Pelodiscus sinensis: one gene and its partners. The protein of the gene in region 2 interacts with the protein of the main gene of each other region in a biochemical or structural test. Links are inferred from orthologs where the notes say so. Each region holds a gene or a part of one and is shown on either strand. Other genes may lie near its edges.

Evidence for each region.
Region 1: of the proteins of RIPK1 (region 2) and TNFAIP3, one has a biochemical effect on the other in vitro, tested with the Homo sapiens proteins (2 studies listed by BioGRID). The link is inferred for Pelodiscus sinensis from reciprocal best matches to the Homo sapiens genes RIPK1 and TNFAIP3.
Region 3: the proteins of RIPK1 (region 2) and CRADD form a complex in vitro, tested with the Homo sapiens proteins (2 studies listed by BioGRID). The link is inferred for Pelodiscus sinensis from reciprocal best matches to the Homo sapiens genes RIPK1 and CRADD.

What each region holds. Positions count from the first base shown.
Region 1 is NC_134713.1:98,274,853-98,285,619, reverse strand, and holds the start of TNFAIP3 (tumor necrosis factor alpha-induced protein 3), read right to left. Parts: upstream 4,505-10,767; 5' UTR 2,410-4,504; coding exon 2,373-2,409; intron 2,272-2,372; coding exon 1,960-2,271; intron 1-1,959. UniProt on the Homo sapiens protein: Ubiquitin-editing enzyme that contains both ubiquitin ligase and deubiquitinase activities.
Region 2 is NC_134712.1:115,468,272-115,478,928, reverse strand, and holds the start of RIPK1 (receptor-interacting serine/threonine-protein kinase 1), read left to right. Parts: upstream 1-6,521; 5' UTR 6,522-6,652; intron 6,653-6,679; exon of another isoform or gene 6,680-7,248; intron 7,249-10,657. UniProt on the Homo sapiens protein: Serine-threonine kinase which is a key regulator of TNF-mediated apoptosis, necroptosis and inflammatory pathways.
Region 3 is NC_134711.1:80,087,721-80,097,533, forward strand, and holds the start of CRADD (death domain-containing protein CRADD), read left to right. Parts: upstream 1-5,309; 5' UTR 5,310-5,342; intron 5,343-6,067; 5' UTR 6,068-6,101; coding exon 6,102-6,175; intron 6,176-8,394; coding exon 8,395-8,708; intron 8,709-9,813. UniProt on the Homo sapiens protein: Adapter protein that associates with PIDD1 and the caspase CASP2 to form the PIDDosome, a complex that activates CASP2 and triggers apoptosis.

The DNA of each region.
Region 1 (10,767 bases), on a different chromosome or scaffold from region 2:
CAATTTTAACAACAGAGCAATGCATCTAATGTACAAATACACAGATGGAATATGTCACAACCTGAAACCATTACACTATTTCCATTTTAAATAATGTTCCTTAGTGCTGACACAAATAAAATGTATTCAGAGTATGGTGCATCACATTATGATATTAATGGCAATAGGTTGGGGTCTAAAATGTTTTTATTCATTTTAAGGAGCAATCAACTAGATTATACATTTTCTTAATAAATCTGTTTGACTGCAATATACAGGCAGTCCCTGGGTTACATGGATCCGACTTACATCGGATCCCTACTTACAAACGGGGTGAGGCAACCCCGCACTAGCTGCTTCCCCCAGCAGACCAGGGAGACCCGGAGCAGATTTTCTCAGCAGACACCTCAGCTTGAGAATAAAGGACTGAGGGAAGTGAGGTGTGGGAGAATAAAACTGAGCTCTGGAGAAATGTTTGGCTAGAGTTTCCCCTACAATATGTACCAGTTCCGACTTACATACAAATTCAACTTAAGAACAAACCTACAGTCCCTATCTTGTACATAACCCGGGGACTGCCTGTACTGTGGGTGAGGTAATTACTTTTATTGGATCTAATTGTCTCTACTATCCTGGGACCACCATGGCTAAAATTACACTGTATGAAATAGACTGTGTGAAACAACTCTCATGAGAAGGTCACTTATTTAGTGCTTGCAAAGTACTGCAAAAAGAGCTAAATGTGGTGTCAATCCTGCAAGGAGTTCCACATTTGTGGTCCCCAGGCAGAGGCTCTTGGAAGTTGGTGGAACGAGTAAAGAGGACAATTTATGTTCATTGCAGGATCAGGTCTTCTATTACTGTTACAGACTTATAGACCTATATTATGTTTAATCAATCTTGTTAGTTAGTAGTAAGTGATGCTTCTATTTTCATGATTAAATTAGTCTTTGTAAAATGTAATTATACGTAGTAAGAGTAGTAGTTACAGAACACTGTAGATTGTGAGAAGAAATGTGAACTAGGACTCAGTAATGTGTATGTGTACCCATATGAAAAAAATATGTTATGGGGAACATGCAATATTCTGCAGCTCACACTCTCATATCCATTAGAACTCACTGCTAATTAAATTTAAATATACATCCCTTGCTCACAAAATCTTTGCATTTTAGCCCAGGTTATACTACACTGGCACTGTTTTTTTCAGGATATACAAGACACACATTTATAAAGTCCCTCTCTCAAATCACCTCCAAGGCCCTGAAATAATACAAAATATATTAAAAGCAGCGCCATATGCTACTTTTTTTTTAACTCTCATTTAAAATCAAGGGGAATTATGCACCTTGTGAAACATGTATGTAACTGTCATTAATTAAAATAGGCACTATGCAGATCCAGTGGGGGGTGGGGGGGTCGGGGAAAGAAAGCTGTCTTATCCCATAAAGCAACCTAGCGTTAATTAGCTTAATTAAGGGCTGACACTGCAGCCAGAGAGCTAAAAATTGTAAATCTAAGATGTTCCAATTGGTACAGTACTTACGGTTATAGCAGAAAATCATAAGCAACAGAGTATATCATGCAAACAACAACGAGGGGCCATATCATATATAATGCTACACTAACTAATATTACAGAATATTAGAAAGCTTCATGAAAAATACTAGCATTGTAAGAGTTGAGGTTCTCATAGGTAAGAACATATTCTTCTACCATACCAAAGATTTATGATATTACCAAACCTCCATGAAATTTTTAACCTGTTGATGTACACTGTAAATCCTTAAAGATTAATAATTGGTTTGGCATGTCGTGCTAATAGGATGTTAATTTGTGTTGCTACAATAAATAGACATTATTTTAATAAAACAACTATATTTTCATCTTAGTAATTAAAACAACAAGCCTATTAATACAATATGCTAGATCCTTAGTACCCTGTCTTAATACCAGTGTAGTGACACATACACAACTTACCATTAGTCTTTAATGGTACAAGTTTCCTAACTTCCCTGCACCAGTTCAGCTTCCTCTCATGTTCCAGTGAAATCTGGGTGGGCCGGTCAATTAAAGCTTTCTGAAGGGTCTCCCGAAACTGAGGACAAAACTGGCACATTCTGAACATTTCTACTGTGTATCTGTGCATTGTTTTAAAGTGATGAATTATTCCATTGGTGGGTTTGACAAGATCCTCAGGAGTCCTCTCTCTAATTTTCACTGCTTTCAGCATATTGCTCAGATACAAAGCTTGGGGAAGAACTTGTTGGACAGCCATTTCTGAGAAGATACCTGAAGGAAAAAAGAAAGACAATCTTTTTAGTCTCACAATGTATATTATAGGATTCTTGCTGGTACAGAGGTTTAGACTGCAAATTCTTTAGAGCAGAGACCTTGTCTGAAACTCTGCCTGTAAACCACACAGTCCATGGTGAGCGCTATATAAATAATATGAAATCCAGCCACCTCTTAGCATTACTCTGCTATAGATCCTGAACTACTAATCCCAGTCTCTTTACTCTGTCTTCTCTTTATTATTAAAGAGAAGCAAGTATTCATAATGAACTAATGAAATTACAGCACTTGTAAAAGGAGAAGTTTAAATGGAAGTGGGGTGAAGAGGAGGGGAGGGGAGAACAAGAGGAGGGGAAATTACCATGGGAGCTTTGTCTAATCAACAATTGAGCAGCGTAATCTCCAGTGAACCTGCTGAACTTTAAATGCACTTTAATCTTTCAATTTGACCACGTGCCAGAGAAAATTGATCGATCGCTTCAGATTTACAGATGAGTGACAGAACATGCATAAAGCAATGTGACATGTAGTGCAATATTTAAAACACTGAGCTACAATAGCTACATGCAAAGTTAGCTCCCAGCCCAGGCTTAAGATTTCATATGAGATTTAAAATTAACCTAATGACAAATGAAACATTTGTAGCATGATAGGCACCTGGTATTAAATCAGACACCTACATAATAGGAACATTCCTTAGGTTATGTTAATGGTAGGATTATTGCAGAAGCATATGCATGTGTGCATGGGGGTGGGAAGGTACGGAATCAGACCCATTATTACTCAAGGGTAAATCAAGAGAGCTGAAGAAGCATTTCCACTTTGCTCAAAACTCCCAATATTTTTCCGATGTGCAACACGTAATGTCAAATGCTATTTGCTCCTTTCCTCACCTCCAGTCACACTGGAGAACATAAATTCATAGCTATGAATGGCATTCCAAGCCTCACACTTGTTCTAGGCAAATCAGGTCTTTGCACTGTGTCTGACTAGAACCAAGTGTAAACACAGAGTACATCTGCACACATGTACTTTCACTGGTTCTCAGTGCTCAACCCAACTTAATGTTTTTTAAAAGCATTTTTTTAGAAAAGTAAATGTATATAAACCTTACATTTCTAGCACTTGAGAACTCCGCAAGTCTTTTCCTCATCAAATGTCTTAAAAGAATATGACACCTATATTGTGATTTCTAATTTGGGGCCAAACAGAGAAAGGCTAGAGGCAAATGAAAGCTAAACCTCACATCTTTTAGGAAACTGTCCTCTCTAGTGATAAGAGCCTGGAGAGCCATGGAGCAAGCAGGAGGAAAGGAATTACAATCTCACAGATACACCAGGAAGGGAAAGCCTCATCTGCCACGCAGGAGATATCCTGCATGGTAATCTGTTCCTCCACATAGTTATATGGGCTTCCCTCTACATCTCCCTGGTTCTGGTAACTGCCATTGTGAAAGTTCCCCTGTGGCTGGTCAATAGCTACAGAAAGGAACTGCCTAGTAGTTATTACACCAAACTGCTCTGCCTAGAGCTGCTTTGTACATTCCCTCCCAAGAATCTCTGGCAGAAGATCTCAGTAGGCACACTTAGCTGAATTTCTATGGAGTATTGATCGGAAGCAATGGGGTGTCTCATGATGAAAAAAAAATGTGTACCCCATTTCTGCTCAACTGGGGAGTTAACTGAATGTTTTTATAAGTATATATTCATTACAAAGTTAACTAACTCATTTCCTATCTTGTCTATTTCCCCTTGTCCAAAGGAAATGGCACATATTTTCCACATCATACTAATTTTTAAAATTAAGAATGCGGGACAAAATAACCAGAATATAAAAGTGTCATGTCCTTTATCTTCTTCAGCAACTTCCAATCCCTGATCCATCAAACTCTTATATACACAAGCAGACTCATTGAGTCATGGAATTTTTTCATGAATAAGGACTCCTCATCTGATTATGTATTGCAAGCTTGTGCCCTGGAAATGGATCTTTCCACTATTAAGTAACAATGAAGACAGCAATTTGTTTAGCATTAAAAAAGGTGAATTCAATTTATAAGTTATTCAGCACTAGATTTCTGCCTCTCTTTTATTCCAACTACATTCTTACCCTTATATGTGAAAATCTGAGCCATTTTGATTATTAGTTATCAATTTAACTGTGCTTTTAAAAATCATGCTTAAAAATAGTACATTTTTTAAAAAACAAACCAAAAAGCTGTTTACAACTGGATAAGATAAAATAAAACAAAGCATAAAACATTCAGGAGGTGTTAAAAATAATTGTTTTTAAAAATAGATCCCAGTCATTTGAAAAAGATCAAACAAAATTATTTTAAATTCAGCCTTCATATTCAATAATCCTTTTCATATTTATGTAGTGTTCACAGAGCACTGGATGGGATTCCAAAGATCTACTTCTGTCTCTAGCATGGCCTGCTGAGTGACCTTTGGCCAGTCACTTCATTGCTCTGTGCCTCGTTTTTCTCTTATGTAAAATGGAAATAGGATAATGCTATCAACCAAAGCACTTTGAGATTTACAGATGAAAAGTGCTATTTAAGAGCTGGACATTACTAGGGCAACCTTGCCACAAACTTAGTACCCTCAAGTTCCACTGATGTCAGTGGGGCAGAGATGGTCTTTGCGTGGACTTTGTACAGGTCATGGCACATTGTCAACATTTTACAAATAACTATTTTAAAAGAATGGGAGATGAGGGTCTGTAACATTCATACATCATCATCTAGCCGGATCTGGCTTGTTGGTACTGTGATTGTCTTGAGTGTGAAAGAAACAAATGGGTGGTTATGCAATTCACTTTATATATTGAAGGGACATTGTTTCAAGGAATGTTGTCAAGTATGAGCAGTATTTGTAAACCTAATAGAAATATATAATATCTTGGCTTTTCAGTACACCAGAGAAACCAGAATAAGGCCAGTAGGTGGCAGGATGTAGGACACCAGGTCAAAACAAAATGGGTTGGTCAATAACTTCATTACCTAAAAGGTTTTTAATAAGTGTATAAACCCCAAAAGTAACATCTCTGAATGATAACTACCATAGCACTGATTTTTATTATTTATCCAAATTCCCCAGATGGTCACCATTTAAATACAGTTCAAATATATCACCTTCATAAAGCATCACAATATGCTTTACAGCAAGTGGTGGAATAAGGAAAAAATACTTAACCAAAAGGGTACAAGTAAAGGGTATACCAGTTATGCTCCTCTTTTCATGCAGAATTCCTATTTATATTGTGTTCAGTTATACTGCCTTGCCAGTTTTCTACCTAGTTCTATCAAGTGTGATAGGACGTTTGAGTCATTGGTATTGATAAAGCATTGTATAAATTCATATTTGTTTAGGAACTTTCATCCTAGATGCTCAGATGGAACACGTTACATAAGTGCAAAGTATTATATATTAATGCTCTCTGTAACTAAAGACAGATTCTTACTAGAAAAAGAAATCAGGAACTACTAATAATGAGGCTATTTGTAAAAAAAAAATCACAAATAGAAGGTTTAAGCATAGGATTAAGCATAGTGCTACTGTAAGATTTGACAAGAACACAGACACCATGGCTCTGAGTTTGCAGTCCAGCTCTCTACCCCCTACTGGGCGATTTGAGGTGTACATGCAGGTTGTTTTTCTTCAAAATGTCTCACTGCTGCAACTTAGCAATGGTGGGAATACTAATGTAGACAACCTATTGGTGGTTTAGCTAGTCTACTGTTGAACTGTACTCAGTGTAGGCCCAAAAAACCAGAAGCAACCTGCTTACACTAATACTCCAACAGTGGAGCTGCATTAGTGGGGTTATAATGGTGGGAAATTGGAACTAACCTGTTAGTGTAGCTAAGACAATAATAGCAAATCCACTTCTCATGGAACGTTAGTAGCCCCCAACCCACCAAATAGATTACAGTATACAAGCTACGTTTAACCCCCCCCCCCCAAACAATCAGAACAATAGCTCTTGCATAACTGCCTACACGAGCTGTCATCAATAATTATGTAACTTACACTACCACAGCTGGGTGTCACTGCCTCGCTACATCCTTGCCTGCCCTTTCCTCTGTCTACTCTCCAAACCTTCTTTCCTCCCCGTATGTACGTTCTGGGATCGCCAGCCAAGTTTTTAAAGGGAAGAACACACAAGAGGATCGGGGGGGGGGGGGGGAGGAGGGGTAGTCAAACACAGATCCATTAGCAAACCTCCCGCTGCCACCACCGGAGCCTTCGTTACCAACCGGCCCTTTGCAATAAATACACACGCTCACCCACAGAAGCAAGCCAGAAATGCTCGCCAGGGCATGGTCCAGACCACCCCCAGGACTCCTCGGTGCCCCACCACGGAGCGACTGCCACAAGCAGCACAAAGCGCGGTACCTTTCTGCAGAAGGGCTCCTCCAAGAGCGCAGCGCGGCGGATACAATCCTTCTCAAGATCAGTGCACGCAGGCGAGGGCAGCGCTAAGCTGGGCAGCCATGAATGCCCGACCCGACTGGGTTGCAGGAGAATCTGGCTCCTTCACAGCGCCTAGCTGGGCTTCCCTCGGCCGCCCCCTCCCTCCCTCCCTGTTGCTGCTGCTGCTGCTGCGCTGGCTATAAACTGGAGTCAAGGGCTGTTGTTTTTTTTCCTTTCTATTTTACTAAGCCGAGGGAAAAAAGCCCCAGCCCGCGCCGGGGATTTCCACCCCCAGCGCCAGGGACTTTCCGACATGTGACACCCGAGCGAACAGCTGCTGCTGCTGCGGCGGAGGCTGCTGCTTGCCCCGCGGCCCAGAGGTGGCGCTGCGCGAGCAAGCCCGGCCCCACGGCCTAAGCCCCGCCCCGTGAGGCTGAGCCATCCCTCCCCGTCTGAGTCAGCGCGCTGGCGCGGGAGTGGGGGCGCTCCCTTCGGAGCCTTATTGCGTGTGCCCGCACCGCGCCGCAGCAGGGGGGCCGCCTATTGGCCAGCGCCTTGGCCGGCTGCAGCCCGCTCTCCTCCTGCCCAGCGCAGCCGCCTACGGGCAGAGCCAGGCCTTACCTGCAGCCCCCTAGGGGCAGGCTGTGACCTGTAGCTGGTCCTGCAGCCTAGTGCTCAACCCAGGGCTCATGATACCATCGACATGGTGTGTTAAGTCTTTAAAGTGCTACCAGACTGTTGCTTTTTTAAGTTCAGCTTGCAACTGTTAATTGCGTGTCAGGGGCCCTACAGGGGAAAAGCCTCCTGCCACTGCCAAGGCTTAATTAACCCTTGTCAACCCACAAAAATTGTACCTGGTTATGTCAATAGTTACAGTGGTTCAGCCTTCTTAGTATGGTGTTAGCTTAATCAGACGCACCCCGGAGTTGCTATTCCCACTCAGACTGGTACAACTGCCTCTGCTCTAGGGTTTGTGCTGGTGTAACTACATCAGGACATGGGCATACCCCTAACCAACAGATACATCTGTAGGAAATGTGCCTGAAGCTCAGGCCTTATTTGCACCATTAACTATGCAAGAGAACAGAGGTGAGTAATGGTAATTAGATGCCCTAGGCTCCCATAGCTCTGCCCTCATGGCCCTACCCTTGCATTTGGTGATTCTACCTTTCACTTACAGTGGCACTGATGGGGGTAAGGAGGTAGTTCTCTCCCAGCAAAAGAAGGGTAGCAAACTTTCTTGCTAGGAATGACAGTTCAGGACCCCTCCCTTTCATAATCACTGTGGGCTCTCTGTCACATGGAAGACAGGTACAGGTGGCAAAAGAGGTTTGCAGTACTCAATCCCACCTGCTAGGATGTATATGCTTAGGTGGGTCAGGATCACTGCATTCTTTTCTTGCTACACAAAGTTCTCTTTGGCAGGGTCCTCCAGAGCAGGAGGTTATGGAGTTGACACCCCATTCATTATGTTGTGGTTCCCCCCACTTATAACTATTGTTTCAGGTTGTCTTCACACTCAAAGAGCTGTCTCTGATTTGGTTATACTTGGTTCACATTCTCAGGCTTTTCTTGGTAACCCTGAAATTTAATATTTGTTTAAATGAAGGGTTAGAGTCTGATGTAATACCATGACTCCAGGGGTTTGGCTTATAATGCTTTAATATGCCTTAATCTGCTCCTGCAGGTGAATAATTTCATGGTAATTGACTGTAGGATGGTAGGACTACTTGCATAAGTAAAGTTACTCATGTACGGGGCCTGGAGCCTAACATTGTAAATTCATGAAGACAGAGATCTTCAATTTGTATCTCTTTGTAAAGGGTTATCAGGTTATATACATAATTTCATGTTAATTAATAAGCATCAAGTGTTTTTTAAAACAATATTTTCAAAACTCTGTCTTAGAAAAGCTCGATAGTTGCCTTCTAACATATCATAAACAAAACAGCTACACGTTGTTCGTGTGAGAGTGTGTCTACCCAGCAGGGCTTAACTTGAAACAAGCTACGCAAATTGAGCTATGTTAATTGCATAGCTTATTTTGAAATTGGGAGTGTCTACACAGCACTTATTTCGAAATGAGCACTCTTCTTCTGACTTATCTTACTCCTCGTACAATGAGGGTTATAGGAGTCAAAGTAAGAAATCCTCCAGCTTGATAATATTTTGACATTATTTCAAAATAACTGCCTGCTGTGTAGACACGGACTAAGGTATTTTGAAATAAAACCTGTTATTTTTGTTGCTGTGTAGACTTACCCCAAGTGATTTGTACTGAACAAATAACAGGTTCCTGGCCAAAAAGCTGACAACCTAAAGGTACAGGATCCAGTGCATGTTGTAATAAAGGGCCTGAACCCTGCAAAGTGCTGAACTCCTTCTGTGGTTCTGAATTCCTCCCTCCCCCGCCTTAACTTCTCTGGGAGCTGAAGTTGCTCAGCACCTTGCTGTCTCTGGCCTCAGACCTGGAAAGTTATTACAGAAAAAGTAGATTTTAAAAAAGATTTTCGAGGAAAGCAGGAGTTGGGCATCTGTATGTCTTCCTCTTCTTTCTACCCTGTGTTCACTGAGTCAGGGCTGTGCTTGGGAAAAGGGATGATCCCATATAGATTAAAAAACTGATGTATTTTAACTTTTTCACTGCAGTTCCTCCTTTTAAGTGCCCTGCTGTCTAGTGGGATCCACAGCCTGACATTTGCATAGGCTGTCTATATAATACATAGAGAAAGGCACCTGGAATGTGATTCACAAAGCCAGAAAACTGAGCAGGGCGCTGTGCAAACTAGCCAGTAGGAAATGCCAGCATAAGGGATGGGGCTTAAAGCATACCCTACAAAAGGACTTAGGCACCTGATTCTGGCCTCTCCATTTGGGATTCACAACCATGATCCTTGTCCTGAAGTTAGCTTAGCCCTTTCTCACAAAACTCTGAGGAAGTGGTAGTTCCCCCTCCCTCTATAACTAGGGCCCTACTAAATTCACAGTCTATTTTGGTCAATTTCATGGTCATAGGATTTTTTAAATTGCAAATTTGATTATTTCAGATATTTAAATCTGAAATTTCACAGTGTTGTAATTGTAGGGATCTTGACCCAAAAAGAAGGTGATGAGTGTTTGCAAATTTTTTGTTTATGTGTGTGTGAGTGCAGGAGGGTGATAATTGTGTTTCTGCTGCCCTTATTTCTGTACTGCTGGCAGTGGCCCTGTCATCAGAGCTGTTTAGCTGGAGGGCAGCAGCTGCTGGCCAAGAGCCCAGCTCTAAAGGCAGCGCCACTGCCAGCAGCAGTACAGAAGTATTGATGTCATGGTATAGTATTGTCATCCTTACTTCTGCACCATTGCTGCCTTCAGAATTGGGCCCTTTATTAGCAGCCACCACTCTTCAGCCATCCAGTTCTGAAGGCAGCAGCACAGAAGTAAGGTGGGTGTGGCATGCCATTGACACTCTTACTTCTGCACCGCTGCTGATGGGTTGCAGTATTGCCATCCTCACTTCTGTGCTGCCTTCAGAGCTGGGTACCTGGCCAACAGCTACCACCCTCCAGCTGCCCAGCTGTGAAGGCAGTGCAGAAGTGAGGGTGGCAATACTGCTATCCCCTAAAATAATCTTGAGGCTTCCCCACAATTCCCTTTTGGATCTGGACCCCCAATTTAAGAAATGCTGATTTCCCCCATGAAATCTGTACAGTAGAGAGCAAAACACACAAAAGATCAGCATCTATGGTGCATGACACATTTTTAATGGCTGTGAAATTGGTAGGCCGTATCTATAACCAAGTGCTCTGAGTGCTTACCCATGTGGTGAGAGAGCTAGGTTCAAGTCTACCCTGCAGGGAACAGGGACTTGAATCCAGACCTCCCTGGATGCATGCTGTAACTGCTTGGGATCCAACTATGTTTTGTAGAGGATCAAATCTGGTACACAAGCCCCATAGACAAGAGAAGCAGGGGAATTTGAGAAGTTCACTGGGCGTAGGTATGAACTACCCAAGAGGCATTAGGACTTAAGCATCTTTGCTCATGCTCACAAAGAGAAATTTAGGTGCCTGCTGGTCTTTGATAGTAGAAACTT
Region 2 (10,657 bases):
GTGGGTGGACCAACTTCTTGTAATGAGAGACACAGGCTTTTAAGCTACCCCAAGTTCTTCTTCAAGTTTGGGAAAGGCAGTCTTATCATTTTTGAGGCTATCATTGCTATATTACACACTGTGTAATCAGGCAGGTGTGCCGGGGACAGTCCTTACTTGAAATGCCACAGTCAGGGCAGGCTGCACTGGAGTTAACCTTCCTAACCAGTCACAAACTGTGCTTTTGATCTGTTCGCCCTATCCCAATACACACACTGGTTATAAAGAAACAAAAAAACATAACCCCCTTTATTGCCCTCTAGTTCTCTGGCTCCCAGTTAGAACCTAGACCCAGTACAGTGAGAAGTTATTTTAAAACTCTGCTCACACATACAAAATATTCTTCTGGACCCAAAGGGCCAACCATATTACCAGCTCACTATTGGTTTGCATCTTACCCAAAATACCATGCTGCCAGCCAATCCTTTAGCATCTAAAACGAAAAGTTTATTAAAGAAAAAAGAAAGACCGAAGAGAGGTGTGAAATGGTCAGACAGTCACGTACATACAACTTCAGGTTCCCAGTTGTACTGGTGAATTTGCTGGCTTGAAAGTCCCTCTGGAACACATCCACAGTTTGGATGGGTCATTCAATACTTTGCTCATAGCTTTTTTTGTAGACTGGTTACTCCAGAGGTAGGCAGCAGGAATGGAGACAAAAGGGAGAAGATGCGGTTGCCTTTTATATTTTTTTTGCCATATGGCTTCTATTTCCTTTGTCCCAAACACAAGCTGCCCAGCACATGACCTGGAAGGCTACGGCTACACCACAAAGTTTTACTGGTGAAACCTGCCTTTTGGCGACAAAACAGTGAAAGCATAGACACTGAAATGAGACTTTTCTTGGGAAAAACACCCAGTTTGGGCGACAAAAAACTTCCACAACTATGAGAGACTTCTTTCTTTTCCCCTCTGTTTATTGTCGACAAAGACTCAGTGTAGACACTGCTGTTTGTTTTGTCAACAGATCTGTCTTCCATCAGTATCCCATAATGCCTGCCCTGATGGCCCTACTTAGGTTTGATTCAACTGCTCTGCAGGCATGCAGCCCCTTTCCTTCAAAGCTCCCAGAAATGCCTGACAGCTGAGTGAGCTGCTCCATTTGGGGAACAAAGAGCAAATAATTGGAGTGCCCCTGTTCCGCCCTGCACTAGGAACACAGTGAACCTAAGAACAGCCTCTCTCAAACAGAAGCTGCGGACACCATTTCTACCCATCCTGGCTAATTGCTATTGATGGACCTAACCTCCATGAAGTTATCTAGTTCTTTTTTGAACCCTGTTAAAGTCCTGGAGACAACTTTCTGTTTCAGAAGGTTGAAAAAGCTACCAGAGGAGAAGCTGTTCTGGATTTGATTTTAACAAATAGGGAGGAACTAGTTGAGAACTTGAAAGTGGAAGACAGTATGGGGGACAGTGATCATGAAATAATAGAGTTCATGATCTTAAGGAAAGGTAGAAGGGAGACCAGCACAATTGAGGTAATGGATTTCAGGAAGGCAGATTTTGATAAGGTCAGAGAACTTGTAGGTAAGGTCCCATGGGAAGCAAGACTGAAGGGAAAAACAACTGAAGAGAGTTGGAAGTATTTCAAAGGGACGTTGTTAAGGGCCCAAAAGCAAACAATTCCGCTGTGTAGGAAAGATAGAAAATACGGCAAAAGACCAGCTTGGCTTAACAAGGAGATCTTGCATGATCTCAAAATAAAAAAGGAGTCCTATAAAAAATGGAAACTAGGACAAATAACAAAGGATGAATATAGGCAAGCAACACGGGAATGCAGGGGCAAGATTAGAAAGGCAAAGGCACAAAATGAGATCAAACTAGCTACAGGCATAAAGGGAAACAAGAAGACCTTTTATAAATACATTAGAAGCAAGAGGAAGACCAAGGACAGGGTAGGCCCACTGCTTAGTGAGGAGGGAGAAGCAGTAACAGGAAACTTGGAAATGGCGGAGATGCTCAATGACTTCTTTGTTTCGGTCTTCACCGAGAAGTCTGGAGGTGTGCCTAACATAGTGAATACAAGCAGAGAGAGGGTAAGTTTAGAAGATAGGATACACAAAGAACAAGTTAAAAATCACTTAGAAAAGTTAGATGCCTGCAAGTCACCAGGGCCTGATGAAATGCAACCTAGAATACTCAAAGAGCTGATAGAGGAGGTATCTGAGCCTTTAGCTATGATCTTTGAAAAATCATGGAAGACGGGGGAGATTCCAGAAGACTGGAAAAGGGCAAATATTGTGCCCATCTATAAAAAGGGGAATAAGAACAACCCAGGAAACTACAGACCGGTCAGTTTAATGTCTGTCCCAGGGAAGATAATGGAGCAGGTAATTAAGGAAATCATATGCAAACACTTGGAAGGTAATAAAGTGATAGGGAATAGCCAGCATGGGTTTGTGAAGAACAAGTCATGCCAAACTAATCTGATAGCTTTCTTTGATAGGATAACGAGCCTTGTGGATAAGGGAGAAGTGGTGGATGTCATATACCTAGACTTTAGTAAGGCATTTGATACGGTCTCGCATGATATTCTTATTGATAAACTAGGCAAATATAACTTAGATAGGGCCACGATAAGGTGGGTGCATAATTGGCTGGATAACCGTAGTCAGAGAGTTGTTGTTAACGGTGCTAAATTCTGCTGGAAAGTGATAACAAGTGGAGTTCCGCAAGGGTCTGTTTTGGGACCCGTACTGTTCAATATCTTCATCAATGATGTAGATATTGGGATAGAGAGTACGCTTATTAAGTTTGCATATGATACCAAACTGGGTGGGGTTGCAACTTCTTTGGAGGATAGGGACATAATTCAAAATGACCTTAGCAAGTTAGAGAAATGGTCAGAGGTAAACAGGATAGAGTTTAATAAAGAGAAATGCAAAGTGCTCCACTTAGGAAGGAACAATCAGTTCCATACATACAAGATGGGAAGCAACTGTCTAGGAAGGAGCATGGCGGAAAGGGATCTAGGGGTCATAGTGGACCACAAGTTGAATATGAGTCAACAGTGTGATGCTGCTGCAAAAAAAGCAAATATGATTCTAGGTTGTATCAACAGGTGTGTTGTAAGCAAAGCTCGTGAAGTCATTCTGCCGCTCTACTCTACACTAGTTAGGCCTCAGCTGGAGTACTGTGTCCAGTTCTGGGCGCCACATTTCAAGAAAGATGTGGAGAAATTGGAAAGGGTACAGAGAAGAGTGACAAGAATGATTAAAGGTCTAGAGAACATGACCTACGAAGCCAGGCTTCATGAACTGGGCTTGTTTAGTTTGGAAAAAAGAAGATTAAGGGGGACATGATAGCGGTTTTCAAATATCTAAAAGGGTGTCACAAGGAGGAAGGAGAAAATTTGTTCCTCTTGGTTTCTGAGAACAGGACAAGGAGTAATGGGCTTAAAGTGCAGCAAGGGAGGTTTAGATTGGACATTAGGAAAAAATTCCTAACTGTCAGGGTGGTCAAATATTGGAATAAATTGCCAAGGTAGGTGGTGGAATCTCCCTCTCTGGAGATATTTAAGAACAGGTTAGATAGACATCTGTCAGGGATGGTGTAGACAGAGCTTGGTCCTGCCTTGAAGGCGGGGAGCTGGACTCGATGACCTCTCGAGGTCCCTTCCAGTCCTATGATTCTATGATTCAGAACATCCTCTGGCAGAGATTTCCACAGGTTGACTGTTCACTGCATGAAGAAGAACTTCCTTTTGTTTGTTTTAAACCTGATACCTATTCATTTCATTTGGTGACCTCTAGTTCTTATATTATGGGAACAAGTAAATAATTTTTCCCTATTAACTTCTTCCGCATCAATCACGATTTTATACACCTCTATCATATCTCCCCTTAGTCTCCTCTTTTCTAAGCTGAAAAGTCCCAGTCTTTTTTAATCTCTCTTCATATAGTACCCACTCCAAACCTCTTTTTTCTTTTGTTGTCCTTTTCTGAACCTTTTTCAATGCCAATATATCTTTTTTGAGATGAGACGACCACATCTGTACACAGTATTCAAGATGTGGGCGTATCATGGATTTAAACAGAGGCAATAAAATCTTCTCGGTCTTCTTCTCTATTCCTTTTTAAACTATTCCTAACATTCTGTTTCCTTTCTTGACTGCCGCTGCATATTGAGTGGATGTTTTTAGAGAACTAGCCACAATGATTCCAAGATATCTCTTGAGTAGTGATAGCTAAATTAGTCCCCATCATATTGTATGTATAGTTGTGATTATTTTTTCCAATGTGCATTACTTTACACTTATCAACATTAAATTTAATTTGCCATTTTGTTACCCTATAACTTAGTTTGGGGAGATCTTTTTGAAGCTCTTCACAGTCTGCTCTGGTCTTAACTATTTTGAGCAGTTTAGTATTGTTTGCAAATTTTGCCACCACACTGTTTACCCCTTTCTCCAGATCATTTATAAATAGATTGAATGGGATTGGTCCCCATACAGACCCTTGGGGGAACATCACTAGTTACCTCTCTCCATTAGGAAAACTTACCATTTATTCCTACTCTTTGTTTCTTGTCTTTTAACCAGTTATCAATCCATGAGAGGACTGTCTCTCTTCTCCCATGACAACTAACTTTACAGGAAACCCCCGACTTCCAACTGCCTGAGTTACGGTCTCCCACACTTACAACCATTTTTGTAAGTGAGGAAGGGGTCGAAAACCCCCAACTTACGTCCTCGTCCCACATTTATGATGGCGCACGGTGCCTATCATAAATGAGGGTTCAAGTTACGATGCCCCTGACTTGCTACGCTTCTCCGGGAACCAAGCGCATTGCAAATCGGGGGCCACCTGTATTTAAGAACCTTTGGTGAGGGACCTTATCAAAAGCTTTCTGGAAATCTAAGTAAACTATAGTCATTGGATCCCCCTTGTCCACATTTCTGTTGACCCCCTCAGAGTACTCTAGTAGATTAGTAAGACATTATTTCTCTTTACAGAAACCATGTTGACATTTCCCCCAACAAATTATGTTCATCTATGTGTTTGACAATTTTATTCTTTACTATAGTTTCAATTTATTTGCACGGTATAGACATTAGAATTACCAATCTGTAATTGCCAGGATCACCTCTAGAGCCCTTTTTAAATACTGGTGTCACATTAGCTATAGTCCAGTCATTAGGTACGGAAGCTAATTTAAAGGTTAGGTTATGAACCACAGTTAATAATGGTAGACAGACTACTACTGCAGGTGTGAGGGGGGACAGGCTGCTGTGCTGCTTTGACGTTCCTTAGCTTGGAGAGCTCAAAAAGCTGCTCATGATGTTGTTCTTTGGCAGCTGAAGAGGCTGCGGGAGAACTTAGGGGGAATCCCAAAATGCACAGGAATCAGCTCTGCCTTCACACAACTGTGGGATATGTTTTGTACCCACACTGCACTGCTCATACTGTCAATGATGGTGCCCCCAGTGCAGACATGAGAGCAAGTGTGAACACCCTCTGGAGATTTTTGTTTTGTCTACCTTTGGCTATCGACATCAGTTTTGTTGACACAACTTGGTAGTGTAGACATACCCTTTAGAGTTCTGTCCATAGACATGCCCTGACATGCCTTGCTGAGGCATCAGGTGTATCTCCTGCCTTCTCTCAATGGGTCAGTTGAATAGCTGGTGTTCTTTGGTGGGAAATCAAGCAGGCTAAGCAGTGCATACCCACCTATGAGCATCCCCCAGCAGATTAGCACAAGTTTGTAATACAGACACACACATATCTATAACCCAAAAAACATAGGTGATACAAACATATAACTGAGATTATCAGCTTTGGTAGATTGTAACAATTTTGCAGATACTTTACATGGCATGGGTGGCATATTTGATTATCATTCTACAGCAGTATTTCCAAATGGTGCTCCACAGAACCCTGGGGTTCCGCGAAGTGAAAACAAGGGTTCCGCAAGACAATTCCATTACAATAACATTTTATGATTTTTTTTTAAAAAAATATATATTTAAGCATTTATGAATTTCATTTAAAACAATTTTCATTTGTGTTTGCCATGATAAGTGTCTCTGTATAATGCCAGCTTAGCCGGAGAGTGGGGACGATGATATCACTACTCAGCGCTGTGCTGCCAGTCAGTGGTGCACTCGCCTGTTATATACCACCGTAAATCCCCGTACTCACTCTCAGGGAGCATGGATCACGTGGGTGACTGAATACGAATATACTAGCGCTGCGTTGGACAAAATCGAAACTTCAGCTGTCAAACAAGTTGCTGTTATTAAGGGTTCCGCTAAATTCTTTGGCGTTTAAAAGGGTTCCGTGGCCAAATAAAATTGGGAAACACTGTTCTACAGATTTCATAATATCCTCCTGTCCCCCAAATTCCATACAGCGTCACACACTGACTTCAATGTGGCTACTCAGTTTGTAAACCAGGGCCAAACTTGTGAAGCTAGCTTTGAAGCTAAAAGTAGTACTGCTTTCCATGAGTTTGTACAGGAGCTAGTTTTTCATGACTCCTCCCACAGCAAGGTGGAGGCGGGCCCGAGAGAAGAACCAACCCAACTTTAGAGTTAGTAAAAGAACTGAAGCCAGACTATAGTGGCTGGAGCTTCCTGGGGCCGGGGCCGGAGCTTTGTGAAGTGACAGGTAAGGGCACTTCCATTCTTTGCGCCTTTAAGAAGAGACTAGCGATGTTTCCGCTTGTTTGCTTTAGTTTTCTTTTAAAAAAGTTCACAGGAGCTGCACGTAGGCCTGCCTGGAACTCGGGTCCTTTTATTTTTCCTTCGCGTTTGAATAGACACGCTGTGCAATATTTCATTATATTAAGATCAAGGCCTTTTGGGGACCTGACGTTGGAGAGAAGGGGGAACGTAGGACTCTTCGATTGTCGTTTTCCACTAAAACTTCCCTTATTATTGCCGGAGGGTGAGAGTTAGTTTCAGTTTCAGCACCATGTTGTAAAGGCCGGATTTTTTGCAATCTCTTAGCAAATTCTAATGGTGGAACGAGCCTTCCGTGTTTCCTCTTCCTGCTCCAGTTCCCGGTGCATTTCTGCCCCCCTAGCATACGGTAACTAGCTTTCCTAATGGTCACATAAACTTTCGCTCTTGCAAACACACAGCGGGCTCCTGTATGTGTCAGACACTGTTGTATCCTGAGCCCTTGATTCATGCGCTTTCTTTGGTGTGGTGTGCTGCGGGCTTTAACACACCGACCCAGCAACTCCCAGCTGAAGGACTAAGGTAGAACACCCCCCCCACACACACACACACACACACACACCCCGCCGCTCCCCTCCTGCGCGCTGTGTCTCACGCTTTAACACCGGACTTTCCCGGGCTGGATGCGATCCGTGGGAAGCGGGGTTGTAGGCGAGGACCCGGTCTCTTTAAGACAGTTACCTGGCCCGGGAAGGGCTCCGCCCTGGGCTGCTGTGCAGGGAAAGGCGTGTGCGCGTGGTGAGTCCCCATGTCCCGGGACAGGGCAGGGGCGTTCTGCGCTAGTGACGGTGCAATGCGATTTGGGAGTTGCCGGGGCGACGACAGAAAGTGCAACTCTGAAACTCTCCGTTGTTGCGATCGTTGCGGTTTCTGTCATGCATACATGAAATGCGGTGCTACTGCTCAGGACTTGCTACCTTTGCTACCTGTCCTTACAGCGGGCAGTGACGCGTGGATTTCCTCCATTGGGCTGCCTCCTCCTCTGCTTCCTTGCGGGACGATCCCTGTGGCTCCACAAGGCGGGAGAGGGGCTTTTATCTCCTCTCCTCCCACTGTCCCACCCGCAGCCCGAGGTGGGGAGCCCCCACTGCTGCTCATCCTCAGGGGTCGGGAGAGCAGGGGGGGGGGGATTTCCATACCCCGTTCCCATGCCCAAAGGGGGAGTAGTGAGAATTTTCACCTCCTGCCCTCCACTCTTGTGGTACTTGTTATGTGCACACCCACCTCAGTTTTGATAATAAAAAAAAAGAGGGGGCCCGCGTTCATCGAAATGGGTGCAAGGTGCTAATGATGTAGTGACATCCAAAGCCTAAAAAGATGGTTACTCTCCTGAAGGACAGGGGCAGAACGCAGTGACAGTGCTGTGGAGCCTCCCTCCTCCCCCTTTCATTGTTTAACCTATTAAATGGGATTTTACATCCCAACTTCATCCTAATAGAAAACTGACCATAGCACCAGTCAGAGTCTCTCTGAGGACTTTGTAGGTGTCATCTGAGGGCGTGGGGGGGGGGGAGGGGGGAGTTCAGTAGAGTTCAGACTGTGAGAGGGGGACAACTTCTGAATGGTAAAACAAGGAACAAGGCTAATGAGAAAATAATCTTAGTTACGCAACATTACTTCTTGTGGTAAGGGTGTGACAGGATGAAGGTTCAATGTGCCTGCTTAATGGGAGGAGGACAACAGCTGCTGAGGGGGACACTGCATACCAGGCTCGTACTTCCCCCCATAATTCCCTATTCCCTTTACTTATTCATCTTCTGCCCTTTGTTCCCACATTTCCCTCCCCCTGCCCTATTCTACCCCCTTCCTTACCCACTGCCTCTTCCCACCCTGTCTAATCCCGCCTTTTCTCATTTCTTCCACGCTTCCAAACCCAGCCCCTCCATGGGCACTCCCTGTTGCACAGAAACAGGAAAGCTCTTGACACAGAGAAGGGGAGCATGTGTGGTACTAGGACCCAAAATATGGTGTTTTGCTGCAGACACTCAGCAGAGGCCAGATGCTGTCTCCTTCAGCTGGGTCCTAGCTCCCCATTTGCAGAAATAGGGTGGCAGTGGCAGGTAACCCTTTGTGCCACCTCTGTTGGGGGAGGGGTGACCCCCCCATAAAAACTGCACCCATGGTCACATAATCATAGGACTGGAAGGGACCTCAAGAGGTCATCAAGTCAAGTCTCTTGAATTTATGGCATCTCCAAGCACCATCTGACAGGTGTTTATCTGACCTGCTCTTAAAAGTCTCCAATGATGGAGATTCCACACCCTCCCTAGGCAATTTATTCCAGTGCTTAATTGGGATGTAAAAATTAAAAAAAAATCAAACCCACTAATTGTGTAATCAATTGGCTGGGAGTTTAACTGGTTAAATTCTTACATCCCTAGGGTTTACATTTTTTCCTAGCGCCAGAAACTTTTCCCTAACATCTCGCCTAAATCTCCCTTCCTGCAATTCAAGCCCCTTGCTTCTTGTCCTATCATTAGAGGTTAAGAAGAATAATTTTTCTCCCTCTTCCTTGTAACTTTTAGGTACTGTACTTGAAAACGTATGTCTCCTCTCAGTCTTTTCCTGACTAAACAAACACATTTATTTCAATCTGCCCTCATAGGCCACGTTTTCTTGACTTTTAATACTTGTTGTTGCTCTTTGCACATTTTTCAATTTGTCTACATCTGTCCTAAGGATGTAATAATGTAGTCGATCAACCAATAAGCAAAAGTTTATAGGTTAATGCTATAGACTACACGCATTTCACCTCCCCCTCTTTGCCAGTAAATTTTTAGCAGGCTGGCTAGCAACTTGGCTCAGTCCTCGCTCGCCCTGGGTCCAGGATCTACTACCCCTGCGGCTTTGCATTTAAAGTGTATTAGGAACCGGGGGGCAGGCAGCCTGGCTCAGATCTGGCTTGTGTCCAGTCTGAGTACTCAGCCCCTCTCTCCCCGCCCTGGACAGAGACTGCTGCCTCTGACACACAGGCAGCAGCACAGGGCAACAGTCAGCAGGTCCATGAGGGGAGCTGGTTTTTAAACAGGCTCCCCTTGCAGAGCAGCTCCTTCCTGGGACCCCACGATGCTGCCTCTGATACAGAGTCAGCAGTGCAGAGAGGCAGGGGGCTACTTGGGAGTGGGGTCAGCTGGCTCAAGGAGTAGCTGGCTCTCCAGGAGCTAAGCTAGCTGCACTGCAGGCTTTGCAGTACAGGTTGACCCTCTCTAGTCTGGAAACATCCATGCTCTGGAATGATTTTAGTTAGCTGGATGTCCACTTTTCATGGGTGTTTTCCACGGTCCTATAAATTTTATTTAGAGCCACAAATCCTAGATCTGTGTTATTATTTAGCTCTAATTTACCCCCTAAATGTCCTCTACCAGCCCAGTAAGCAGTGGAAGTGCTGGTAATGCTTCTAGACAGCATTGACTTCCTATGGTCTGGAAAGTTCACTGGTTGAGAACTGATCAGGTCCTGAGGGTGCTGAACTAGGAAGGTTGAACCTGTATAAGCTTTATATTCTCTAGTGTTCAAATACCACCAACCTTTTTGGTGAAAACCAAAATAAAGAAATCATGAAGCACTTCTGCTATTTCCACATTTTCTGTTATTATTTTGCCCTCTTCATTGATTGAATAATGATCCTACCCTGTCCTTCTTGGTCTTTCTCTTGCTTCTAATGTAGTTGTAGAATGTTTTATTGTTATCCTTCATGTCTCTAGCCTGTGTGATGTCATTTTGTGGCTTGGCACTTCTAATTTTGCTCCCTTGTCCTTCGTGCCCCCTCTTCCAAGCAGCTGCCTGACATTTTTTGAAGGAAAGCACATGAATTGGGGGATGCATTTTCTGCAGGCATGCAGCCATACAGAATCCCCTCAGGAGTAACCTTAAATGTGTGTGTCAACCTTAGGAAGTATTATAGGATTTGGTAGTTGGGAGGGGTTATGTA
Region 3 (9,813 bases), on a different chromosome or scaffold from region 2:
GGCTACAACACTGCATATTCTAAAAAGTTAACAAGAGATAAGAAAAATTTAAAATAGTATGGAATGTCTTAGCCAACTTCTTAGATTCTCCCTAACAAATTTCAAATGAGGGAACACTTGTATCCCATTAGCAATTATTTGCATAATGGAATTTTGTAGTAACATAGGTAAAATAATAGCTTACTTAAAATAAGTTCCTCAAGTATAAGACACTCCCCAAGCAGCAAAAAATATCTTTTAAAACTAGGCAGTCTAACTATTTAATCTAATAGTAGTAGTATCAACTAGCTAGCCCGTAAGCAGAATTTTGAAACAGCGGTGGAGAGCAATTCCTCCTAGAACAATTTTCTTGTTATATGTGGCATTTATATTTCATATTATTGCAGAAACCAATTTAAGATGTTTATTCCCAGGCAATGCATTAGTCAATAGGAAATGCTGAAGGGAGATTTAAAAACAGTGAATGGTGGCTAAATTGATTTGCCGTGTTACTACAGAAAGGAAGAACAGCCAAAGGAATTGGAAATTGCTTTCTCTAGGTCCAATCATTTTGGTATTATATAACCGAAGAGCAACCCCAAATCGCTCTTTGAGGCCTTGATCCTGCATCTGTGTCTCGTAGTCAGACTAATGGGCCCTAGCAAAGCCCCCATTGATTTCACTTCTAGTAGTATCAAACAAGAGAAAGTGCAGGCACATACAGAATTTTTTCTCTCAGCTATGTTAAAGGCAGGTGTGCATGCGTATTCTGCTACTGACACTCAATCTACACCTTTCCATTATGAAAATTCCATTGCTGGTGAAGAAATACTGGTTGGATCTCCCTGGTAAGGATGTAAGCAACTAGTCGAGAAATGCTTATTGGGTAGTCGAGTAGGAACTCGGCTAGTCGCTTCCCCCCATTGCTGCCTCTATCAGAGAGAGGCAACAGAAGGTGGGCGAGCAGGAGCTAGTGCTGGGGGGGGGGGGCAGCTTAAAAGCTGGTTCTCCCTCCAGCACCGTCTCCGTGGGGGGGAGGAGAGGCATAGGGCAGCAGGAAAATGGCGTGAGTGGGCTTGAAACATCTCACTTGCACTGGTCCCTACTGCTGCTCCTCTCCCATTGAAATGTACAAGAGCCACCTGCAGCTCTTGTACATTTCAAAGGAAGAGGCACAGAGGGGAACGTGTGCTAGCAGGGACTGCTTCAGTCCCTGCTGGCATCGGTTCCTGCTGCTTCTCTCCCTTTTAAAATGTACAGGAGCAGCAGGAAATTCCACTGATTACTCAATTAGGTGATTAACTGACATTGAACATCCCTAGTCCCTGATCCAGCACCCTTAGATCCTGACTAGTCCTGGATGAGGGATTTTGCCAGACATGGGGAAGTCATTTCTGGTCCCCCTGCTGCTGGCCCCCCTGGCCTTCCTCCACTGGGCTGTCTGACTTGCCCCTCCCCCTCCACCGCCCAGATGAGCCACACACCAGCTTTCTGCCCCCACTGCATCATGCTGGATCCTGGCCCCCCGCAGAGTGCCTGACTCTCTGATCTGGAAATATTCGTGGTCCTTCTGGATCAGAGAGTTCCAGTTTATAGAAGTGCAACCTGCATATTGTAATATCTGCCTCAGAAGGCCATGTCTGAAGACAAGACTGCTGCTGTGAAGAGGCAGCTGTGTGGAGGCTTAGTTCCAACCCGTTGCCCAAGAGCAATATGACAATCTTGTGCCCCCACCAATCACAAAACATTTAAGTTGGCTTGCCCCGCACAAAGATGAGAAATGTAAACATACAAGGACTAATATTTATAAAATGTGAAAATAGCCAGTAAGCTAAAAATAATCAAATAGAAATTATTAATGGGAAAGGGCTAAGCAAATAGAAAGGGGGCAAAGTTTCAGAACCAGGAAACAGCTCACAATCTATCTTTCTCTGTATATAATTTAAAACAAAGTCAGGGTTTGATTGTGCAGAAACACGAGATGTGCCTGGAATTCGATTGTTTTCCATAACATGAAAAGGGAGGAGACTCAGCAGAGGATCGCTATACTCACAGTCACCACTGGGGACAGCAGCAAGTGCAGGAGACAGCTAAACTGCAGAGTGACCATTAGGGACTGCCGCACCACCAAGGAAGTAGCCAGCTAGGGACGAGATCTCACCATCTTGCCTGCACCAGCCCAAGTAAGTGGTCCTCCTACCCAAAACCCTGACCCCCTATGGTCCTGGTGCCAGGCCAGGGGGGGAAGTCCTGCTGGCCCCACCACTGTAGCCCCTCTGGGAGCACTGCTGAAGTGGGCAGCGCAACTCTGGCCCCTGACACAGGAGCCACAAACTGTCCTCTCCCAGCACAGTCAAGGCTGCCCAGCACCACCCTTTTGCCCACCCCCAGACTGGGCCCGGGGAGCGCCAGCAGAAGGCTCCCTTCCCTCCCCCTGCCTTGGGATGCCCCTCCTGGGAACAGGCAGGGGAGACTGCAGATCTCTTTCCCCCTAAATTCAAATGAGAACGTTGCTGGCTGTTCCTCTTCGTCGGGAGCAAGGGGAAAGTGTTTGCTCCATTCCTCACTCTGACTGGGGAGCGAAGGGGGCAGAGGAACCTGAACCTACCCCAGCCAGGGGACATGCATCTCTCTCCTGACTGTGCCATCTGGAGCTGCAGCAGCCATGGAGAGGCACTTCTCACCTGGCCCCAAGTTGCTGTGGTGAGAGAGGACTGGGGTTGTCCTCTCTCCCTGGGGCAGCCTGCATACTGAACCCCTAATCGCTAGCCCCATCCAGAACAATGATTTAAATGCAGAAAAACAAAAAATAAATGAGTTAAAGACCCAAGCAATGCTTGGTAAATCATCTAGTAATAATATATTAATATCATACTAGCATATGGGCAGTTGTGCTGGGAGGGGAGAATACTGTAGCTGAGAGCAGCTGTAAATCATTGGAAACCAAGAGAAAGTCCAGGACACTGTAGGCCTTGAGAACTTTTGGGGGCAGAGTAGCCAAGAGAAACTGATTGAGGGAGACAGACAGGAAGAGAAAGCCAGCCTCATTTTAGTCAGTCTGGGTCCTAAGGAGATACAAAGAACAGCACAGATTTAAAAACAGGTATTACCCCATCCTCTCATTCACAGACTTGTAGGTTCAACCATGCCACATTCATACTTCACTTCCCTCTCTTTCCCTTTCTGTTGTAAATCTTTCAGAAAGTTTCAGTACTAGAATGCAGACACCATTCCCATCCTCCTGTGTGCATTACTGTTTCAGTACCACAACCACTCCTCCCTTTGCTTTTGGGAAACAATGATCATTCTTTTTTTTTTAAATAAGGAAATTCCCAACATTTTTTATGCTTATTTTGTTGCTGTTGTGGTTTTTTAAATTTGTTTTGTTTTAACATAAGATTACTAAATTAATCTCCACTCACAAAAACAGTTGTGAAGGAACATTACAAAGTTATAAAAATTAGTTTGTCCATAAATATGAATTCTCATTATAGTCACTTTGTAAATTTAGTCATATTAAACTAACTCTGGAATGGAGAGCCTTAGTTCTGTCAATCTCAGTTTAAAAGGGGCACTTTGAGTTAAAAGTCATGTGTTGTGAGAAAACATTTTTTCTTGTCTGTGAATTCAGTCCTACACTCCAGAAAGATGCTCTGCTGTGCACAGGCAATTGTAGGCTCACTGATGGCTTGGATCCCGCAAAAACACATGCTTAGCTACATGCCTCAGTATAGTCAATGGGACTACTCTCAGTGAGTAAAGTAATGCAGAACTGGAGCCTGCATTACTAATAATGACACCTTAGATCCAGGGGGCAGAAGGGGGAAGATGTTTTGTGAGTTGGGAGCCACTGACCCACAGAAAAATCAGTCAGGGGTGCACACCACACAAGTAAGAGGCAAGCCGGGGGCTGCATCCAGCCTCCCATATCCAGCCCCTGGGCCTGAGATTCTCCACCCTTGCCTTTGATTTTTAAATTTGACAAAGAATTTTAAAACCCATTTTATTTTGTACTTACGTTGCTTGCTTTTTAAAATTTTCCTCAATTTGGACAATGAAGTCTGTTTTAGAAACCTTTGTTTCTAATTTGTTTAACGTGCAGGTATGCAGCACTGCAGTATTTGAGTTGTGATCACTGCAGGAAGATGTTTATTTAAAAAAAAAAACACCCTAATTTTCATTAGACTAAAGCAATATAGCAAAATTTGTACCCAAGGCAGATTTTCCTACTTTGTACAAAAGCTAAAAGTTCAGCCAAACTGATCCCTTCCAAAGGTTTTTTGATAGTATAATTATTCATAGATTCATAGACTTTAAGGTCAGAAGAGACCATTATGATCATCTAGTCTGACCCCCTGCACAGTGCAGGCCACAGAATCTCAACCACCCCTCTTAGAATAATCCTCTCACCTATATCAAAGATATTGAAGCATTCAAATACTTTGAAGGACCCAACATGCAGAGAGTCCTTCAGCTGTGATCTGTGCCCAATGCTACAGAGGAAGGCGAAAAACCTCCAGGGCCTCTGCCAATCTACCCTGGAGGAAAATTCCTTCCCGACCCCAAATATGGCGATCAGCTAAACTCTGAGCATGTGGGCAAGACTCACCAGCCAGACACCCAGAAAGTTCTCTCTAGCAACTCCTATCATCCCTCCATTGACCTATTTCCAACTGATAATGAATGGTCAATTAGTTACCAAGATCATGTTATTTCATGCTATTCTATAGCTATTACAGTCTGCTATAGATTACAAATAAATGCCTGCATTTTAAAGCAGCTGCACTATGGGCTGGCGTTAAGGTTATATGTTCAACCTTAACTCTCACAGTTCTGACTCTGGAGTCTTTTAAACAGTCATCCTCTCTCATGGATGGACACCTGAGCGCTGCAATGAGTCACAATCAAGTTTCCTACGCAGGCCCAAGAGCAATGTGTTCCTGCCCAGACCGGATTACAGAAGTTTTCGGTGTAGCTAGAAAACCTGTCTCTTACTAACACAGGTGAGTCTAATAAAGGATTTTTTTTGCATCACCCACCTCTGTCTGGTTGCCAGGGCTGTAACACCGCTTCCAAAGAACAATGTCTCGGGGGGGGGGTTACAGTGTTCTCAGGTTACACTCGGCACTTCCCAGACGCGCTCGCTGCTCGTCTAACACGTGGGAGCGCCTGTGTCCACAACACGGATGGCGGCGGCGCTTTCCATGGCAAAGCATTTGACCTCAACAAACATGGCCGCCGCATTGCCTCGTCCCCTTGGGAAGGCTGGGGGAGGGCGTTTCCTGCCCAGCCCTTTCGCCTTCAACAAAGATGGTGCCTCCAGCGCCGAGCCGGGAGCGTGTGTAACCCCCGGCTTTCCGGCTGTGAGTACATTGCAGTGGGCGGGAAAGAGCGCTGGCTCCCCCGTCCCTTGCCCGTGCGCTGGCTGGGAGCCCTCCTGCCGCTGCACTGGCTGCACGCCCCTCTCCTCCCTTGCCACCCCGGTCGTGGCAGCTCTCCCCCTGGCCCAAGCGGCGCTGGCTGTGGAGGCTGAAATCCCGGCAGGTCCACGCACACCAGGGCAGCGCAAGCCCTGACAGCCTGTCCGCCCCCAGCAGCAGCAACTCCCTGCACTGACAGGTCTTACCGGCTCCGCTGACAGCGATAAGGAGGGTTTTGAAGAGACGCACCATGGTGCTGGGGGTTATTTCTAATGCTGCCGAGCCGGGGCTGAAAACAGGGGAGGCTACAACACTCCTGCCTGGCACAGCCCCAGGGGATTCGATCCACTCCCGAGTCGTACCCAGCTACCGTAGCTAAGGGCTTTTTGCCCTGTTTGTGTTACAGACACACGGAGGTGGAAAAAAAACAAAACAAAAACCAACAGCCAGACCCAAAGTCTGACGTCTAGGAGGTGTAATTTGTTGGTGGATTCCCGTCTTGCTAGTTACATTACCAGCCACTCCAAAACGCGACAATCTCACCACCTACGGGAAAGCAGTTCTCAATGAATTTCAGGCAGCACTCTGGTGATCTGTGTATTTACACAGTGTCCGAGGCAGTAGCAGCATATATCAATGCCATGAAATTACCAATGTCTCCCCTGCAGCTTTGTGACATGATCACATTCTTCAGGAGGAATAATGAGGAGAGAGAGTCTTAAATTTTACCTGCTGGAATATATGAGCAACAGAAACTTACTAACCCTGCAGTGCCAGTAAGTATGAATGGCAAGAGCCAAATCAGTTTGTTCTTCATTGTAATGGATGCACCTGTTTTATAAATTCTGTATCTAGCTTATGAAGCACTTTCCAACTGAAAAAGCTGGAGAAAATCATCCAGACCTCACAAGCTGAGAATGAGGCCATGTGGAATTAATGGTTCATATAATTCCTGCCTAACTAGGCACTAACTTCCTTACTGAAATGTGCCAGGAATCAGAGGATCCAATTCAAATTACAACTGATTCACAGAGAAACCGATTAATGCAATAGCTATTACATCTAGGAACAAGCCAGAGTGCTTATTTCAAAGGTTAAATGGGTATTGGGAAGCTATTCAGAGCAAGATTTTGAACTGTCATTTTTGGTGTGCTTTCACATCAATGTATGCATGCAAACATTAATTTCCCTTGGTGTCAATAGCAATACCGATGTGCAAGTTAGGGACTGTGCAAGGACAACTGAGGACAAGTAAAGTATGGTCCTAAGGTTGAAAAATTACAAACCTTTAGAAATATTTGGAAAAACTATAACTTTGGCCTCCTTGCTTGATGGACAGCTTCTTTTCTTTGATAAGGGATGATCTGGTATTTTATCTCTCTCCTTTCCACCACCGTGATCATTATTATTATTTTTTTAAAGCCTCCTTTAGTTTGATACTGGATCCCTTGCAGACAGTGGTTATAGTAGAATGGAACAGGAGGGGGAGCTCTCAGTGCAACAGTCTGGAGGGGGAAACAAAGTGAGAATGGAGTTGGGGGTGAGCTGACTCTTCTGTACTTTTAACTGTGCTCTGTCTTAAACTTTCCTCCCAGGCTGATCTCACCTCAAGATCCATAGTAAGACTCCAGGTTTGCTTTGTGGTTCCCTCCATTCCCCCAATATCTTCCCAGCCTTAAAGCCATGAAAGACATTTTTTTTAATGATGCTTAAATACCAAAGAGGTTGTTAAGATACTTTGTTAATATCTCGCTTCACACCCCCAGCAGCTTTTAGCAAGGATCATGACTGTCAGCGCAATTTTGGCTCTACTAATCACTTACAGTATGCTAACATCTTTATGGCTGACCTAGAACAACGTTTCCTCAACTCCCGTCCCCTTTCACCGCTAATCACTTACAGTCTTAGTGGCCTTTACTTTCTGGAAGGAAGCCGCATGGGGTGGGGGGAGATTATGTGGAATGCTATATGCTGGGAAGATGGGTATGTGGCAAGAAGAGTTCAACTGAGGTTGAGGAGAGGAAAAGAGAACAGTGCTAGCTATTCCTTCTCTCAAGAAATGGTAGATTCTGTGCAAAAACTGTTGTGTTTTTTATGGAGGAACTACCATAAAAGTAATTTAAATCTTTTACGTTTATGGGGCATCAGGAGGACTGTTTTCAATGGGTAGCTTATATTGTGTGTGTTTCCAAATAATTAAAGACATATTATTATATTGTATTTTTAATACAAGCTGAGCTGTTTCAGAGGCTGAAATGTCTTTCCTTTTAAATCTTTTCACAATGAGTCTGTCCTGCCCTAATTCCCAGTTTTTCACTTCCTGCAAAAATAGTGATTTACTGAGGTTATGTCTAGGCTACGTTGTTCTTTTGGGATACTTCCAGTATCCCAAAATAGCAACACTGCGTCTTTTAAAGTGTCTGCTATTCTGGTGTCCCTGTAACCCTCATTCCACAAGGGTTAAGGGATTTGTCGGAATAGTACCTTATTTTGAAATTTGGCACTGTGTAGACAGCGCCAAATTTCAAAATAAGCTCTTTCGACTTGCGCTATGCAAATTGCATAGCTTATTCTGACAGAAGGGTGCTGTCTAGACTCACCCTCAGAAACATGCTATTTTAATTTTGCAGGGTTGGGGCCTTAAGGTATTCCAATGGCATCCCTTTGCCAAAGAGCTTATAGGATTGTGGCTTTTATGCTTCAGTTCAGTTCCCATCTAAGTCTATGGCAAAACCACCTTGACTTCAGTGGGAGAAAGATCAGGTCCCAAATTCATGGCCTCAGGTGAGAGACAAGAAATCAAACTGCTAGCTAAGGGGAAACTGAATATAAAATGCTAGCCTGAAGGAAAATGGCTGAGCAGCGATAGATGGTTCCCACTTCAGCTTATCTTGGTGTGGTTCTCTTTTGACACCCTTTTGAACATGAAAATAGCTCTCTTTGATGTTAAAAAGGGAAGCCTTGTAATATCTCATGTGTCCTGCTTCTTTTCTTGCATGCCTCATGACAGGATGGATACCAGAGACAGGATGGTTCTGCGTTCCCTGCGGCTGGAGCTCTGCTCAGAGGTGCTGGTGGAGGAGCTCATCGTTCATTATCTCTACCAGGAAGGCATTCTAACAGAGAACCACCTTCAAGAAATAAAGTCCCAAGCCACCAGTCACAGAAAAACCATGATGCTTCTCGATATCCTTCCTACCAGAGGCCCCAAGGCCTTTGAGACGTTCTTGGATTCCTTACAGGAGTTTCCATGGGTGAGAGAGAAACTGGAGAGAAAGCGTAAGGAAATGATGGGAGAGGATCCTATAGGTAAGGCCAGAATTATCCCTGTGGTTTTGAAGCTGGCTTTCATAGTGCAGCTACTTGTCTGCTAATTTCTTGGTGTTATTGATAGTGCAAATTATTCCAACATTTTGGAATGAGAGAGGCTGTGCCAACTAGAGGTGATGCTTAGTGTCCATAGTAGGCCACACACCATAGTTCTTGAGAGCCAGCTGAGTGAGAGAAAGTAATGCAGATTTTTTGAGATGAGCAAAGGTTAGGCTGGGTTCCTATGCGCTGGTAGGTAGCGCAGCAGAGAAGAGAAAGATGGGAACTTGATTCAGAAGGAGCAGAATCTGGAGGGCACAGGCAGGGAAGAATCAATAGGTTAGAAGGGACCACAAGAGTGATCTAGTCTAAGTCCTGCCTGGATGTGAGATTTGTTGCACCTAAACCATCCAAGATAGATGGCTATCCATCTTCCTTTTTGAAACTCTCCAGTGAAAAAGGTTCCACAACTTCCTGAAGGAGATACTAGACCTCCCGGGCACAAAAGGACTGTGATATAAGCTAAGGAATGATGTTAATTGGATGAAGAACAGGTCTAGAAACCACATAATCACCCAAGCATACCAGGGTCTAGTCTTTTGTTAAGTAAAATGTACATGTTAGCTCTATATGTGCTATAGGGCTTTTATTCTGTGTTCTAATTGATGGATATTTGTTAAAAACTTGTCTTGCTTTATGTTTGGTAGACCATGTGTGGCATCACAAATAGATTCCAAAGGCCCCCTGTGAAAGCATAAAAATGTGATAGTGACACAAGAACAGTTAGGAATGAAGCAGATCTCTGAGTGTCCATATATAAATTATTGTATAATTTTAAGGGATGCTTCAAATTTCATTTTGGGTTTGTCATTTACACTAAAGCTTCCTTTCCCTCACCTGTGTAAGGGTTGTGTGTAAATGTAAGTTTATGCCAATTTTAAGTACCCTTTAAACTCCCAGAGTAGTGTAAAGTAGGCATCGGTGTAAGTGGGACTCAGTCCCTCCATCTTAAAAACCCGCCCCTCCCCTCCAACACTTGTCCATTGCTCAATTACAGCAGGAGAAGCTGAGGGATGTTGTTAAATTTGCACAAATTAGAATACAA